Cricetulus griseus: one gene and its partner. The protein of the gene in region 1 interacts with the protein of each later gene in a pairwise test. Links are inferred from orthologs where the notes say so. Each region holds a gene or a part of one and is shown on either strand. Other genes may lie near its edges. The genes, in order: Mapk14 and Dusp1.

Region 1 (8,693 bases):
ATACAAACCATGAACCTTTGGCAGCAACTGGAGAGATTATTGTGGAAAATTATTTTAAGGTGTGTTATATTTGTTTATGCTGTGGAACATTTATTTTATAATGATGCAAAGGAGTGTTGCATTCTTTTATGTTGCATTTATTTAACTCTGTGAAACTGTGATTCTTTGCCTCTCTAAAATACCCGATGGTCTATAAAGAGCTGAACAATCAATAGCAAGTCAGGTTAGAAAGGACAGGCGGCTCTGGCAGGCAGAGAGAATAAATAGCAGGGGAAATTCAGGAAGAGAGAAGCAAGGGAACAAGGAGAGAGGACACTAGGGGCCAGCCACCCAGCCAGCCACAGAGTAAGAGTGAAAGTAAGATATACAGAAGTAAGAAAAGAGAAAAGCCCAGAGGCAACAGATAGATGGAGCCATTTAAGTTAAGAAAAGCTGGCTAGAAACAAGCCAAGCTAAGGCCCGGTGTTTATAAGAAAAAAATAAGACTCCGTGTGTGATGTATTAGGGAGCTGGGTGGCAGGCCCCTCCAAAAGGCCAAGAGTAAAACAGGAGATGGTGCAGTAGCTATGAGCACTGGCTACCAGAGGACCTGGGGTTTGTTCCAGGACCAACATGGTGGCTCATGACCATCTGTAATTTCAGTTTCAGTGGATAACATGCCCCATTCTGGCCTCTGAAGGCACCAAGCACACAAGAATACAGATACACATTGGGACAAAACACCCATATACATAAAAATAAATCGATCTAAACACACACGCACCCTCTTTCAGTAACCATGTTCTGTGGGTGTTTTTGCATGTTTGTTTTTCTTGAGTTGACAGGGCTTCATTTTTACTCTGCAGGCCAGGCTGGCCTCAGACTTTTGGTTAGGAGTTACTAATTGTATTTAAAGGTTTCTTATTAAGACCAGTAACATCCAGGTAACTATTCTGCTTTTAGTTACAAAGACAGTAGTGTCAGCTAAAAGCAGCTCCTGTGGTACTAGCACTAGAGAGCCTCAGGCAAAAGGATCAAGAGTTCATGGCCATCGGATTGTCTGGAAGAAAGGAAGGCAGGAAGAAAGGCAGGGAGAGAAGAGGCGTGAGCTATTACAACTAAGAAAGTAAAGACCAGACTTCTCTCTGGTCAAGGGTCAAGAAACTCATGGTTTCATACCTAACCATGGAGTTTTGCTTTTACCCTGGCTCATTAATGATTAATGGCTATTAATACTTTTTTTTAAAGCCTTATTTGTTTTTTGTTGTTTTTACTCGAAAAAATCTTGTCCTAGAGCTCATTGAATTGTTGGTTTCTTAAAAGAACTTACCATGTTTAGTTACATGTTTACATGACAATCATAAGTTGTACATTACCATGCCTACAACACAGTAAGCAACCGGTAAAATGTAACCATTAAACTCATTCCTCTGCAAGTCCGATGACAAAGCGAACTGTCTTCTGCACCCAGCCACTACTTGGTGGTATGTAATAAATACTGACGAACAAATGGCTACAGATGATCTGGAAGTGACTCTCAATCCTCACTCCCAATGCAGTGTCCAAGTGTGCTCAGCAAGGGCCTAGAAAGACCCCTTCCCCAGAGGGAAGGCACCGAAGTTCCTGTTTGTATTTCCTTAAATTCACCACAGAGATTTTCCCCTATGTCCCAAACCACAAAATCAATGCATTGCAACAATGTGGTCTTAGACAATTTTGCTTCATTTCCCTCTACAGACAATGAACAAAGTTCCTTAAACTTGAAGACTTAGTTTAGTTCCTTTTGCTCTTTTTGAAAGAAAGATACTGTGTAGCTCTATCAGCCCTCAACTTTCTGGTCTTTCATTGATCTTTGATTCATAGTTGGTTACTGCACAATACAGAGCGCTACTTTTTTGTCACTGCTGTTCACTACATAGTGCAAATTAAAATATAGGCTTGAGCTTAAAAAAAAAAGCGCTACACATCAAAGTGTACCATGTCCCATACCAAGATTCCTTTATCCAGAGACCTCAGGGCCAGCTCAATAAGCCATATTAAAAAATGCTGTGATATTATAAGTGTAACCCAGTGTTGCCAACTGGACTGCCTTCTCTCCTTTCAAGGCTTCAGTCTGAATCCCCCTCAGTCACTTGCATTCAAATGGACATCACTGTTTTCCGATATCAAACTGTCTCGGAGGATCAGAGTGGAGAATGGGAACACAAGCCACCAAGTGGGTTAAAAAAGAATTTCAAGAAGTCAGGCATGGTGGCATACACCTTTAATTCTCCTAGTCAGGCAGAGAGGCAGGTGGATCTCTGTGAGTTTGAGGCCAGCCAGGTCTACAGAGAGAGTCCCAGGACAGCCAGGGCTACACAGAGAAATCCTGTCTTGGGGGCGGGGGAGGGGGATGGAGAAAAAGAAAAGAAAGAAATTCAAAAGGTGTTTTCAGTTGTACCCAAAAAGCTAACTGAAAACACAACTTTAGGCCTGAAGAAATGATTCAGTGGTCAGTGCTCCTGTAGAGGACCCAGGTTCAATTCCCATCACCCACATGGCAGCTCACAACTGTCTGTAACTCCAGTTCCAGGGTCTCCATGGCACCAAGCATTCATGGGGTGCACATATATGTGTGTAAGCAAAATACCCACACATATATAAAATAAATAAATCCTCAAAAAAAAAAAAACCCAGCTTCAAATAACTTGAGAGAGTTATTTGCTCAGTCATCATGTACAATTTCAGCTGTCTTTTCCCCCATCGACAGGTTATAGGCTACACCTTACATCTCTGGTACAAACTCTTCGTCTCTGAAAAAGACATGCAAGGAACCGAATAGCGGTTGTCACTGAAGGAAGAGAAAACAGGGCTGGGGAACAGAAACAGAAGGCTTCCTGCTGCATACCTTTTTACATTTTATACATAATGAGTTGCTAATGAGTTGCTTTGTGTTGTTTGTGTATTGCTGGGGATGGAATGCAGGGCCTCCCATATGCAAGACCAGGGGCTGTAGTATGAGTTACATCACTGGTCCTGTATCACATACTTTTTTTGGTTTTTCAAGACCAAGACAGGGTTTCTCTGTGTAGCTTTGGAGCCTATCCTGGCACTCGCTCTGGAGACCAGGCTGGCCTCGAACTCACAGAGATCCGCCTGCCTCAGCCTCCCCAGTGCTGGGATTAAAGGTGTGTGCCACCACCGCCCTGCCCTGTATCACCTACTTTTAAGAAGCTGTTTGGTACAAGTCCTTTCCAACTGTGAGGTGGTGCTGAATTCTATTTCATAGAAAAGAACAGCACCAGAGGAAGTGAGCGTAGTTTTAATGGCACTTCACCACTGAACTTCATTGCAAACCTGGCTCTTCGGCCAGGACAGCAGTGTCCATAGGAAACCTTGCAAGTTCACCCACCCAGATGGCCTACAGTGGAGATACTCTGTTTCACCACTCCCTGAACATTCAAATGGAAAGCAAAGCCTGATACTCTAACAATTAGGAATGACGGACTGAGGTATGCTAATGAGCTATTAAATATTAGAGAATGAAGATAACAGTCGCAAATACACATGACAGATGTGTGAACTGCCATTCTGTAGACATGGGAGAAAGACGTCAGGGTTGGTGCCATCTGCAACATAACTTAAGCAGCTTGCGCCAACAAATGCAATATGATCTGTTGCTGGACACTATTGCACAATCTCAATTACCCAGAAGGTTCTACCAAACAGGAAATTCATGGTGTGACTTTAAGTAACACAGGACTCATACCTAAAGATTAACACATGCAGAACCCTGGAATTTGTTACAAAACAAACCATTTCACAAACCTTCGAAAACAGGAGTGTATATAAATTACTAAAGCACGTGAAGAGCTAAGCTGTTGAACCTCAAGAACCAGAGCTCTAAGAAGACACTAAGCCTAAAAGACACTGTATGAACCCTGGAGAGTTCCTAATCACTTCTGGAGTGGATATTTTATAGTATGGATTTAATTTGAAACCCACTCCCAGGGCCTTGCAAAGGTGGTAAAAGCCTTTATTCCAGGCCAGCCAGAAGAGTGAAGTTCAGGGCAGCCAGGGACATACAAAGTCTCAAATGAACAACAAAGAATCAAGAATCACGGTGTGAATGACAGCTGAGAAACATTGTTTCCTTTGCTCTCACCAAAGCCACGTCCCTCAGCCCTGGGAAAAAAAAAAAAAAAGCAAGCTGATAGCGCGCCCCTACAAATCTTCAAAGGGACTTAAAGAAAAGCATCCCAGGAATTATTTCAACTAAAAAGCTATTTACACCTCCGATCACTTGATCTGGAGTCCCTGTGGCCCGCATGGGAAAACTGATTTGTGGAGCAACACTGAAATGAGCAGTGGTGTGTGACTAAGCGGCGAGCGGTGGCGTCCTTGCAGGCGCTGCCACCCTCCCGCCCCGAAAAGGAAATACGCTTTCAACCGAATCGGAAACACAGCACGCAAGCTGGCACCGCGCTCGCCGAGATAAAGTCAGCATTCTAGGCTCTTCGGGGTGCTGCTAATTCATGTGCTAATTCCCAAAGAACGCTTCCGGAGCCAGATTTGTCCCCCCTCCAGATGGAGTCTTGCAAGAAAAAGGAAAAAACAAAAACAAAAATCCGGGAAGGGAGCGCTTTTTTTTTTTTTTTCTTGCAAGTTTCGTTCCGGTGACCGCAGTCGCGGGGTCAGGCTGTGTGCCCTGCCGCTCCTCGCAGAGGCTCCGCCCGGCTGGCTCGCCCGCTCTCCCGGGGCTGCGGGGCTGCGGAGGGAGCCCGGGAGGGGCGCAGGGTGGAGCCCGCGCGGCTGCACCCGGGTGGGTGAGTGAGGGGTGCAGGGCCCGGCCGGGGCAGAATTCCTGCCGCTGGGCGCATCGCGGAGCCGCGGGCACAGGCCGGGCCTCAGGCTCGCACGCTCGCACGCACGGAGGCTCGCACGCAGGCACGCAGGCAGGGCCGCCCCGCCGGCTCCGGCGTCCCCGGACCCCAGGCCCGGCGACACTCACCACACCGAGCCGTAGGCGCCCGAGCCCACCGGGGACAGGTTCTGGTAGCGCTCGGGCACCTCCCAGATGGTCTTGTTCAGCTCCTGCCGGTAGAACGTGGGCCTCTCCTGAGACATCTTCCAGCGGCGGCCGGGGCCGCTGCCTGCAGCCGCACGCTGTCTGTCCTCGGCGCTCGCCCGCCGCTCGCCCGCCGCTCGCCCGCGCGGGGCTGGCTGGACGCCGCGGCCCCTGTCAGAGCCGCGGGCACGCGCGGGAGCCGGCTGTGCGGCTCGAGGCTGCTCCCGCCGCTGCGCTGCAGCCGCGCCGCGCCGACGCCGCACGACTCCCGCTCGCAGCGCTGCAGCGCCGCCCGCCCGCCCGGGCTCCCGTGGGCTGGCTCCGGCCGCCGCGCTCCTCCCGGCAACGACCGGAGCCTCTCGCGGAAGTCTCGCGAGAACAACGCCCCGTCCCGCCCGCGCCCACGGCCCCGCCCCGTCCGACCGCCCCGCCCCGCCCCGCCGGGATCTTACCCAATACGGAACCCGCCCGTGGGAGGGGCCGCTGCGAGCGCGCCGGAGGCGGCGCCTCTCGCGAGAACACGGAGCGGGCGGGGCTGGCAGGGCTTCGGGGCAGGGGCTCTCGGAGGAGGAGCGCGGGGAGGATGGAGAGGACGGAGGAGGAGCGCGGGGAGGAGCGCGGGGCGGACGGGAGAGAGGAGCGCGCGGAGGAGCGCGGGGCGGAGGAGGACGGGGAGGAGGAGCGCGGGGAGGAGCGCGGGGCGGACGGAGAGGAGGAGCGCGGGGAGGAGCGCGGGGAGGAGCGCGGGGCGGACGGAGAGGAGGAGCGCGGGGAGGAGCGCGGGGAGGAGCGCGGGGCGGACGGGGAGGGCGCAGCGCGTGCCGCGCGCGCCTCGCTGTGGTCGGCTGGGCGAGCGCTGGCGCCAGGGCGGCAAAGCTGCCGGCCCCTGGCTGCCCAGGGACGGACGGACGGACAGACGGACGGACTGATGGACGGACGCTCGCTGCCCCTGCCCCGGAGCCCAGGCCGCCCCTCCAGACGCCCAGGAGCCCCCTTCAGTTTTCTCAGGCTGAAGAGCCGCCCTGGACGTTTCAGAAGCAAATTCCAGGGGCCGGGCCGGCCGGGCTCGGGGCCTGCGTAGCATTTGCGAGGTCCTGGGTTCGATTCCTGTGCTGGAAGGGACAGGGACGTATGTACCCATGCGCGCACACACATGCACACACACACACACACATGCACACACACACGTATGCGCGCACACAATGCACACACACGTATGCACGCACACACATGCACACACCACACACACACACATGCGCGCGCACATGCACACACAGACACACACGCGCGCGCACATGCACACACAGACACGCACACGTGCGCGCACACACGTGCACACACACGCACACACACGTATGCGCGCACACACATGCACCACATGCTCACACACACCACACGTATGTGCGCACACACATGCACACACACATGCTGGTAGGTCATTGTATTCCAGGAAGGTCTCCTCTTCCATATATATATGAATATAATGTATATGAATATTTTACACACACTATATATATTTTATTTATATATATTTATATATATGTAATATATATGTATATATGTAATAAATATATATATGTAATAAATAAATGTAATAAATATATATTTATTACTCTCTGTGACCCCAGCAGTTGGAAGGAAGCCCAGCCTCTGCTGTGCAATGAGTAGCTAGCAGGCAGCCTGGGCTGCTTTTCTGAAACACCCAAAACCCATTCCTGGGGTTTGAGCCTGACTCCTGCCCATGAGAACCATCCCGACTGTAGAGATTTAAAGGAAACTTTGGAGACTCCTAAGAATGTGAACTCAGAGAATTTTAAAGACTTAATCCCCGCCCGGGCGCATGGGGAACGGGGCAGCGAGTTCTGGCAGCGCAGCTTGGAGACAAACCTGCTGACCTGAGGCCCCGGCTCGACTTCCCACGAGAGGTCAAGCATCCCCCCGTCTTGGAAGCTGAAGATAAACGTGACCGTGCGCGCCTCTCTGCGTTCGTCTGAGCAGAGGAGAGGCCGTTTCCGAGGATGCCCAGGGTGCCCGCGGCCCGGGTGTGCTGCGCAGCCGGGTACCCTTCTCCTGGCCCGGGTGCCGTCCACGCCAGCCTGCGCGTCACCCGCCGCACCCCCGGAACGCCCGCGGGTTCTGCAGCAACGGCTCGGAACTGCCGGCCTCCGCGTCCGTCCGCCTCCAGCCAGTCTGACCCCAGCGTCTGCGACTCCCGCCCGCCACCGGGAACCAGGTGAGCCTCGGTCCGGAGCCATCGGGAGCTCTGGCTGCAGCCCGGGAGCCCAGAGGCAGCGGAGCGTCCCAGGGCGGGGCTGGTGGGGTCACCTGCAGGGCCCAGAGGGTCCTGGGCACTCTGGATTGTTTGCGCTACGAGTGGATGGATGGATGATGGGTGGATGAAGGGAGGGAGGGAGGGAGGGAGGAGGGAGGAGGGAGGGAGGGAGGGAGGGAGGGGGTGGGTGGATGGTGGAGGGAGGGGTGAGAGAGGGAGGGAGGGGTGGTGGGTAGGAAGGAGGGAGGGAGGGGTGGAAGGGATGGAGGGGGTGGGAGGGAGGGAGGGAGGGAGGGAAGGAGGGGTGGAGGTAGTCCCTGGAACGTCTCTCTGGGATAGAAAGGCAGCCTGAAACAGCAGCAGGAGACAAAGTGGGTTTTGCAGGCCGGGTCCTCTCAAAGTTCTCTCCTCTCATTGTCTGTGGGCCTCTCCCCACTTCCATCCCTTCTGTCCTCACGGGGCCTCAGCCCAGGACTCCTTATCCTTTCAAACCTCACTGCTTTTGCTCACCTTGTTCTGCCTGGCGGAATCTTGCGCTCCACCCTTCTCCCCCTTGTCTGTCTTCCAGTCAAATCCCTATTTATGGATTATGCATTGGGCCCCCGCTTGCCTTCTCCATTCTGCCCAGTGATGAGTATCTGTCCCTTGGCAACACTAAAGGAAGGTGTCCGGTGTTTATGTGACCTGTGGTCAGCAGCTGGAGGGCTGTCACCTTCACTTATCTCCTGCCACTACACAACGGAGTTTGCTGACACCTTTGCCATATCCTGCACAGTCTCCATCAAAACTGAGAGAGTCACAGGCAATGAGTAGTTTTGGTTGGGATTACACACGCTTGTTTTTGGTTTTTGTTTGTTTGTTTGTTTGTTTTGTATTTTTGGTTTTGGTTTTTCGAGACAGGGTTTCTCTGTGGCTTTGGAGCCTGTCCTGGCACTGGCTCTGTAGACCAGGCTGTCCTGGAACTCACAGAGATCCGCCTGACTCTGCCTCCCGAGTGCTGGGATTAAAGGCGGCACCACCAACGCCTGGACACACGCTTGTTTTTAAAAATTGGAAGTGAACTTTGCCTAATGGTACAGGAAACTTGAAAGATGACTATATCAGTGAAAGACATTCTCACACCTTAGTTTTCATGGCTTCTTGTCTGTTGGGTCTTATATATCAGGCTACCTTTTTTTTTTTTGCATTTAAATATTCCAAATGGAGATTCTTTGAATCAATCAGTGGATGGATGGATGGATAAGGACAGTGGAAGTTGTGAAAGAGCTGGGTTAAAGTGCTTGTGTTTTAATATAGTGTTCTAAATGTAGCAGTGAGAGCCTGATTAAAGATAATTAAAGGCTGGGACCACAGCTCAGGGTAGAGCATCCTAGCATGTGAGGCCTTCAAGTGCAT
Region 2 (8,693 bases), on another chromosome or scaffold:
ATGCATCCCCTTTGCTGCTTCTTACGAGCTAGTACTTTGTCTTGCGACAAACAGAGGTCTGTGGAGTATTCGGATGCTCTTGGCTGGCTGATCAATGAATGAGGCAATGGAAGAGTGGAACGGCTCTTAGCTTTAAAAGCTCATTAGAAGGTGGGGGTTTTTAGGTGCTTTCCTTAGCAGAACTTCTCTGCAAGTCAACCCTATGAGGCCAGTGCCATGAGGACCCTTTGTTCTCTCTGGAACAAAACCCAGTCCTGAGCTGACACAGTAGAACCCAGGCTGGGCTATACCAGGCTGTTCTTGAACAAACTTGTCCAGCACAGCCTCAGGAAAAAAAAAAAAAAAGTCCCCAGCGGTGGGCAGCCTTCCTACCTGCTCCCAGAATGCAACCTTTAGAGACAAACAGCCCCAGGTGACCAGGATCCACCCGCTAGGAGGTGTGGGAAAGCCAGCTCCAGCATAGCAGGCGGGGCCAGCAAACTGACATTGTTTGCCTCTGTATACAGCAACAGAAACCATGCAGCCAGCACTTCTCAGAGGCACCCCGCCCCCCTTCATTTTAATCTCCCAAACTGACTTGTCAGCAGCAGGAAGTGACATGACAGCTTTCCTCACAAAAGGGAAACTCCTCCGCTGTTACCATGGGGACTGAGGCCACTGCGGGATCACAGATTTATATAATCTTAAAGGTGTAGGCACCATGATGTCATCCTGGATACGCTGAGAGGGGGAAATGGATGCCAGAGGCTGCTAGTGCAAAACAAGGGAGCTTCAATTTGCAAAGTTCCCTGGAAAGGGAAGGAAAGGATACTGTGGAGGTGGTGGAGGCTGAAGTCTCATCTGATGGATGCCTGGAAACCACAGAAAAGCACAGAGCAGGCATCCATCATCCATGCCTTTTCCACAACCTGGAATTAAAGAGCTGGGATGAAACCAGCTCTTCAGATCCAGGGCAAACTGGTCATTTCATAGGGTGGGAAAACCAGACGTCATTGGGGACAAGGGGATCTAGTTGCTGCTCTACAGCCCTCAGTCAATACGCCAGTCACTCTTTGTTGCTTGGAGGAAGAAACTGGGGCCTTGAGGGGTATAGTTTTTCCACCCAAAAATTCAGGGGTAAAACCATGCAGAACACAGAAGGCTACAAAACTCTTGTTTAGCAACTTAGGCCAGTCTTCACTGAGACTCCAGCAAGACCATCTACTTATGGTAGAACACTGAATCTGCAGCCTTGCCTCCTCCTCTGGGAAATGGATGTGATGTTAAAGACTGTGAACACAAGCGAAACATGTGGTGGACCTTGGAACTCAGTGGCAGCCCCCAAACTGATAGCTGTCACTACTGGGTAAGCCTTAAGTAATTAAGTAGGGTCCATATCAACTCTCTCTGGGAAACTAATATTTTAATACTTTCTTTTCATCCTGACATACTGATTTTTGTCCCAAGCATGATGTTTTCTAGAGGACCTGAGCAAAGGTGACCTGTGAGAGGGGTAGCTTCTTGTCTGGGCTGTGAGGTGAGCAGCTAGAAAGTCAAGAAGTGAGTGAATTGTTTTCCCTGGCAGCTCCCTGAGGTAGCCTCTGTATTTTTCCATTGACTGGATCACACTGGAGACTAATTTGGGTTCAGCCAGTGACTGCCAAGTTGAAAGCAGAGACTCTGGCCCACGGGAAAGGCAGTCTCCGAATCTGCCACGGAATCGCCATTGCTGGTACATTTCCACGCAGGGAACAATTCACAATAGCAAATATCTAGGGCTTGATAAAAATAATGCATCTGGTTTGTTTTGAAGGCATGAATATACTTGTCCAAAACCCAGCCAAGGATATGAGCTTGCCAGCCCAGGATAAGTTTTTCTGTCTTAGAACACAAGGATCTTCAGACCTGGATGCCAAGTGGCAGGCAGGAAGAGGTCAAGGGCAAGTTCTGTGTCAAGGCTTGAACAATGGGTCTGCGTGAGGATCATGGCACCAGCCAATTCTAGAAAATATGGATGGGACGCTTCCTTTTCTACATAGAGCAGCACTTACTCTACAAATAGGAGGCAGAAAAGTGGGCACACAGGGGCCAGGAACCCAAGGGCTTTGCTGTTATGCCATTTGACATTACAGACTGGATTTATGGGTTGGTATTCAATTATACCTTCCCAGCCTTAGCCTGCTTGGCAGGGGTGAAAATCCAGAGTCCTGCCCTAAAGCAAGTCTGACATAATTGCCTATGTCTTCAACACAGGTATGTAGAGTAGCAAGTGATCTGAAGGAGACAGTTGCCAAAAATGTTGTTTCTATGCAGAGGTTGGTATGCACACCCTCCAAAAACTAGCAGGGGAGGTGCAAGTAATTTCTTCCCTGTACATGCATTTAGTACTTGGATTTGTTTTTCATTTGATGCATTATTTTTAAAGCTATAAAAGCATTGTCCAAAGCAAACTGACTATATGTTATAGACAAGTGACAAAGTTCACAGGTCATAGGATTAGAAAACAAAATGCAGTGCCTAATCCCCTGATCCAGCTGCTCAGCTACTTGGAGCCTCACATCCTCACCTGTACAGCACCAGAGTCTCTCTGAGGAGAGGCTAATCCCATGCTGTGCATACACATTAAGAACACATTAACCTGGGCATTCTGCAAATAGCTCAGGGAGGGGAGATCTTGTCCATGATTCCCAACGATGTTAATGAAAAAAAAAAGTTAATTAAGGCAAATGGTTCTGGGGACACTCGAGCTCCTGGGGTGACATGGCAGATGATGTTGACTGTTGGTACACCTTGACCCTATACTAAGATCTGGGTAACAGCCCCTAGTATTTCATACACTTCACCTGCATGCCTCTGTGGCAACCTAGTCATCTTGTGGAACCCATGGGTCACCAAAGAGGTACAGGATCAGACCCCACACACATCCTAGCAGTGCTGGTTCAATTTTTCACTATGATACTTGCTCAAGAGTAGGGTTGCCAAAGAAACGAATCATCAAGAGCTCAATAGAAACGTCATAATTTATTCTGTTGTATAAAAAAAAGTCATCCTAGTAACAAAATGTCTTCTTAGAAGAAGAAATATATTACTTCAGGTCATAAATAATCAGCAAACATACAACTGTTGACAACTAAAAACTACAAACCAACACCGGTTTTGTCCACCAGTGTTGAAACCAAACCTGCCCTGGGTCTATTTACAAGATAGTACAGTACGCAAACACAAAAATTGAGGTATTTGGTTCTTCTATGAGTAGACACTGACATTTGTGAAGGCAGACCACCTACACAAAAATAAATAAGGTAAAATTCTCATACGTGTATGTCGTCGGGAATGGTTAATACTGGTAGGTATGTCAAGCATGAAGTTTCTAGAAAAAAAAAAAATGGGCAAGTGAAGAAACTGGCTCAGAGTCCTTTCTCTTCTGCCCTGCTTTGTCAGAGGGACTTGATGTACCCACAACATATTGGACCCGAATGCTGAGTTCAGCAAATGTCTTGCAGTAGTCATTATTATGACTGCTTAGGAACCCAGTGGAACTCGGGAGGGGAGGGGGTAGGGCTTAAATAAATAAGGACCAGCTCAAATGAGTCTCTCCCAGAGTTATTGCATTGCTCCTCCCATGGGAGGAGTGGCGTCCCGGTGGCACGAGAATATCCACACCTCCCCTGGCCCTTCAGCAGCTGGGGGAGGTCGTGATGGGGCTCTGAAGATAGTTCAGGGCACTGTTCGTGGGGTGGACGGGGATGGAGACGGGGAAGTTGAAGACAGTGGTGGTGGAGGTGCCCCGGTCAAGGACAGCCATGGCAGGACTCCCAGCTTCAGCAGAGCAGTGCGGGGCCAGCACCTGGGACTCAAATTGCAGCAGCTGGCCCATGAAGCTAAAGTTAGGAGAGATGATACTCCGCCTCTGCTTCACAAATTCAAAGGCCTCGTCCAGTTTCACTCGGTTAGTCCTCATGAGGTAAGCAAGGCAGATGGTGGCTGACCGGGAGATGCCGGCCTGGCAATGGACAAATACTCTCCCTCCAGCATCCTTGATGGAGTCTGGAAAACAAAGTGGTGGGTTACTCAAAAATTCAGGAGACCAGCCCAAGCCCAGGTCAAATGTCTAAGAAATGTCTCGTGTGACCTGTCCAGATATGGCTAAGGATCAGCTTCGTGCTATCATATGGACTTCGTATGTGCATTGTGTAAGGGATAGCAAGGGATTTAAACCCAGACTAGGTATTTCCACTTATAATCCTGGGCAAGTCAGTCAGTTCAGCTATCTGAGTCTGGCTTTGCTACTCGTGAGGAAGAAGGCTCAGGTGAGGGTCAATCAAGCCATCACCCAAGAGGCTGGACTCAATGGTTACAGTGAGGACAGAAAGCAGAAGTCCCAGACACCTTCATTTACCTATGAAGTCAATTGCCTCGTTGAACCAGGAGCTGATGTCAGCCTTGTGGTTGTCCTCCACAGGAATGCTCTTGTACTGGTAGTGACCCTCAAAGTGGTTAGGACAATTGGCCGAGACGTTGATCAAGGCAGTGATGCCCAAGGCGTCAAGCATGTCCTTCCGGGAAGCATGATAGGCACTGCCCAGGTACAGGAAGGACAGGATCTCCACTGGGCCCCCCTGGAATCCAAAAACAGTCCAGCATTCATCAAGCTTGTTCAGAGTTAACAGAGTACCCACACCCACAAAAACTCCCTACTGAAAAAGGGAGTTTCAGACACTGGTGACCTCAGCATAGACGGCATATTAAAATAATAATAAAGAATTAGGTCCATTGGCTTGGACAGAGCCAACAAGCTCTTATATGCCAGCAACTGGGAGACTCAGCTCCATCCAATCGCTTCACTGTGGAATAAAAATTCCCATGTCCCCTCAAGTATAACTAAAGCTGCAGCCACTTTCTGTATTCTCCCTGACACAGCCCTTCCAGACCTCTGCCACCCCCTCCCACCCCCCCACATAGACGGGGACTCTTACTAACCTGATCGTAGAGAGGGGTGCTACAGGAGCTGCATCCGGATTCTGCGCTGTCAGGGACACTAGTACTCAGGGGGAGGCTGAGCCCCATGGGGGTGGACTGTTTGCTGCACAGCTCGGGGCAGGAAGCCGAAAACGCTTCATATCCTCCTGAGAACACAAAGGAACACATTTTCCCATTAGCATCACCGACACAGTACCTGGAGACAAGTCACCCACCCACCAGAGGATGCGAGTTTACATAGAAGGCTCAGGGAAGTCTTTGTTCCTGGAGCCAAACAAAGCCAGTGACAAGTCCCTGGAGACTGGACACGGGCACTCCAGGTGGGACGACCCTTTCCCAGCTAATGGCAGAGGTCCTGCCAGAACGAGCGCGTACCTTGGAGGAAGAAGACTTGAGTGGTGCGTGCTTCTCGGCAGAGCGCGCCCGCAGCTAGGGCTAGGGTGCCGTCGCGCTTGGCGCCCTCCAGGGCGACGCTGCGCTCGTCCAAAAGCACCACTGCGTGGTAGGCGCCGGCCAGCAGGCGGCCGCGCAGCTCGGCGTTGGGCACGATATGCTCCAGGCCCATGGCGCCCTTGGCGCGGCGCCGCACGATGGTGCTAAAGCGCACGTTCACCGAGCCCGCGATGTGGCCGGCGTTGAAGGCGAAGAAGGAGCGGCAGTCCAGCAGCAGGCACTGCGCAGCGCGCTCTCGCAACAACGCGCGCAGCCCTCCGGCGTCCAGGATGCCCACCTCCATCACCATGGCCAGCCCCAGCGACCCCAGCGTGCCCGTCCCGCGGCCCTCCAAAAACAATCTGTCGGTCCGACGCGGTATCCTTGTGGCCCTAAGTCCCCAAGTGCTCGCTGCTCTGAATCTAGTTTCACTGTGCGTCCCGCCCGCCAGTCCTTCGCTGCGCGCTCAGCTCTGGGAGCGCGGTTTTATGTGGCCTCTCGGGGGCGGTCCCGGGCGCGGCGCCGGAGGAGGGGGAACGGTTTGTTTGTTTGAATGGCGATCACGTGACATGTTGGTGACGTCACCCACCCTGCCGGGCTTGGCGCCGCCGAAGCCAAAGGCAAAGACGTCATCGGCCTGGGAGCGGGTCGGCTTTGCACGCTGGCTCACCGCCCGGCCCCCACCCTGCTGTCCGCCGGCCCCGCTGGCAGGACTGCGCGCTGCCAGCCCGGGTGGTCAGGACGCGCGGCCTAAGGACACGCCCGGGGACACCTGCCCGGCTCCCCTCCCCGGGTCTCCGCCGAGAGCGTAGGAGCACTGCTGGGACTACGGTCTCAACTGGTCCTGCTCCCGCTGTTGGGGTATTGGCCCGGGCGAGCGGAGCGGGGAAGGGGAAGGGGTAGAGAGAGGTGATCAACTCGGTAAACCCTGTGGCTTTACAGAGGACAAATGGCAAGAGTCGAGGCGTCCTTCTCTAGTGTCACTTTAAACTGTTTTACGACGAACATGGGAAAGTACCTCCAGGCAGCCCCCTACCAGAATGTTATCCCTGCCGCGGTGGTCTTTAGAGGACTTGGAGCCAAGAATGGAAGGGTTGAAAGATCGGGTGTGGAGCCCAGGTTTGGCATTTGGGGCGATCTGGACAGGGCTCGACAGCGCCGCCCAGGGACCACCAAGCACTTTGTAGCGTGGCTCCAGAGGTTGCTGCTCCCCGACTCCTCCTCATGCGCGCGCGCGTGCGCGTGCGGGTACAAACAACTTTTGTTTTGTTTTGAGACAGGGTGTTGTTTTGTAGCCCTGGCTGGCATTGAACTCACAGAGATCCTCCTGCCCCTGCCTCGCCAGTGCTGAGGTTAACGGCATGCACCCCCAAACCTGGCTCTTCATCTGTATTGAACAGAAGCTGGGCGCACTAACGACCCATGGCTGGGGCCTTGGAATCCGCTCCTATGGAGGCCAAACTCTACCCGACAAACCCAGGTCCTGGTAATCCAGAGTGGCTGAACTCCTAATCCAATCCCAAGGCGCCTTAGGAGTATTGCCAAGACCTGTACCTTGGCACCCAGGAAGACCCCAATGGGGTCTGTGTCCTTTCCCCAAATTGGGGCCGGGAGCCCCAACCACGACACCACGGAGTTGGATACATAAACATAAACATTGCACCACTCCGCAGGGGCGCCGAGTCAGGAACATTCTGCGGTTTCTTCCTCTCTACTAGGGGGAGGTGTATTACCGGTCACCAAATGTTGTTGCTCTGCAACGTCTGTCCACTTTGGCCTCCCCTAGCTCTTGCGTTCTGCCTAGATTCTTTGTAAATTCGGGGTACTTTATTTTTGAAGGGCATTTTACCTTCCTATGAGCCTTGATCTAAAAGAGCAGCAAAGGAGTCAGATAACACCACCCTCCCTGCATCTCAGCGACAGAAAGAAAAAAAAATTATTTATTCCACTTATTCAGCTGAGAACCTCAACATATTTTTGTGTTGAATCATAAAATGTTACAGCTGCTGCTGTTACGAACTGCATACCAACTTCATTTTTTCATATATATATATATATATATATATATATATATATATATATCAAGGCTATCCATTGTATCTTTCTATATCCAAAGTTTTCTAAACGACCTATTTATACAAATGCAGTGGCATGGTCTGGTACTGAAGTTAAATGTCTGCTGGTCCCCGTGGAGTTCTGCTCTCTTCCCTCCCTGGAAGAAGCATAAAAAGTGGGCTGGAACCCGGGGGAAAGTTGACTGTTGGAGAGCCAGCCGTTCTCTTTTCTGTTGAGCCTTCAAGGCAGTATCTGTACAATGGATACCATGCAGCATGGCTTGGTGACATTCCCTTGTAAAGCAGGAGGGGCAGGACACTGGGACCTTTCCCCTCCTGAGTCACTGACTCTGTTTTTCCCCTTCCCGGCTGTGATTCTTATATCATGAGGCCCCCTGGGCTGTGTGTTTCAGAATCTGGCATCAGAGCCTTAGCTGGTATCTTCAGGTGGGTCTTGAGAGACTCCTAGAAGCCTCAACTGGTTGGAGCTCCAGCTGAGAGAAAGCTCTTGTGTACCACAAGGGACTTATTCTAGGATCCACTTGTTCAGAAAGAGTTAGCAAAGGTCTAGCCACCCAAGGTCCCAGTCCAGGCAGTGAGAATGCCCTGGTGACAGGGAGCAGAACCAGATAGGCTTCTTTCAGCAGAGTTGGAAGGGTAAGCAGCTTGTGCTATGTGCTTAGCTGCTGAGGGCCCAGAGCAGGTGAGTCAGTAGATGTGAACTCTGGGAGAGGCTGGGCCTCACTGGCCTGAGAACTTCATAATTCCAGGTGTGCTTAGAACAACTCTACAGGAAGGTGGGGTGGGAAAAAGCCGCCAAAAGTCTTAGCCTGCCTCCCCTCTTTCTGTGTGTCTCATCAGTCACTTCACCTTGCTGCACCTCCCTGTGACTGTGGAGAAGAGCATCAGTTTCTATCTGGGTCCGGTGGGGACATTCAGTGCACAGGGTTGGCACAAGCCTATGAACCTGTCAGACCCTTTCAGAGTTCATTTAGGATCTGTTTTGGGGTCAAAAGGGAAAGGGGAAAGAAGCTCCCACTACTGACTAAAAGTGCTCCTTGCTCATGGTCTCCTCCATAACATTAGGCAAGTGACTTACTCTCCTGAGCCTCAGTTTCCATATTTATAAACTGGGAATAATGGCCATCTAGAACTAAATTAAATGGTGGGAGAAAGGCCTGGTGGGATCCCTGCAGAAGAATTGCTCCCAGGAGAGGGGTAAATGCCCATCCCTCTTTCCCCTTGACT

What was found.
Region 2: the proteins of Mapk14 (region 1) and Dusp1 interact in binary tests that used the Homo sapiens proteins (3 or more experiments, as listed by UniProt). The link is inferred for Cricetulus griseus from reciprocal best matches to the Homo sapiens genes MAPK14 and DUSP1.

What each region holds. Positions count from the first base shown.
Region 1 is NW_023276806.1:233,799,544-233,808,236, reverse strand, and holds the start of Mapk14 (mitogen-activated protein kinase 14), read right to left. Parts: upstream 5,257-8,693; 5' UTR 5,086-5,256; coding exon 4,970-5,085; intron 1-4,969. UniProt on the Homo sapiens protein: Serine/threonine kinase which acts as an essential component of the MAP kinase signal transduction pathway.
Region 2 is NC_048600.1:47,298,175-47,306,867, reverse strand, and holds Dusp1 (dual specificity protein phosphatase 1), read right to left. Parts: upstream 5,872-8,693; 5' UTR 5,702-5,871; coding exon 5,335-5,701; intron 5,106-5,334; coding exon 4,960-5,105; intron 4,599-4,959; coding exon 4,379-4,598; intron 4,027-4,378; coding exon 3,656-4,026; 3' UTR 2,982-3,655; downstream 1-2,981. UniProt on the Homo sapiens protein: Dual specificity phosphatase that dephosphorylates MAP kinase MAPK1/ERK2 on both 'Thr-183' and 'Tyr-185', regulating its activity during the meiotic cell cycle.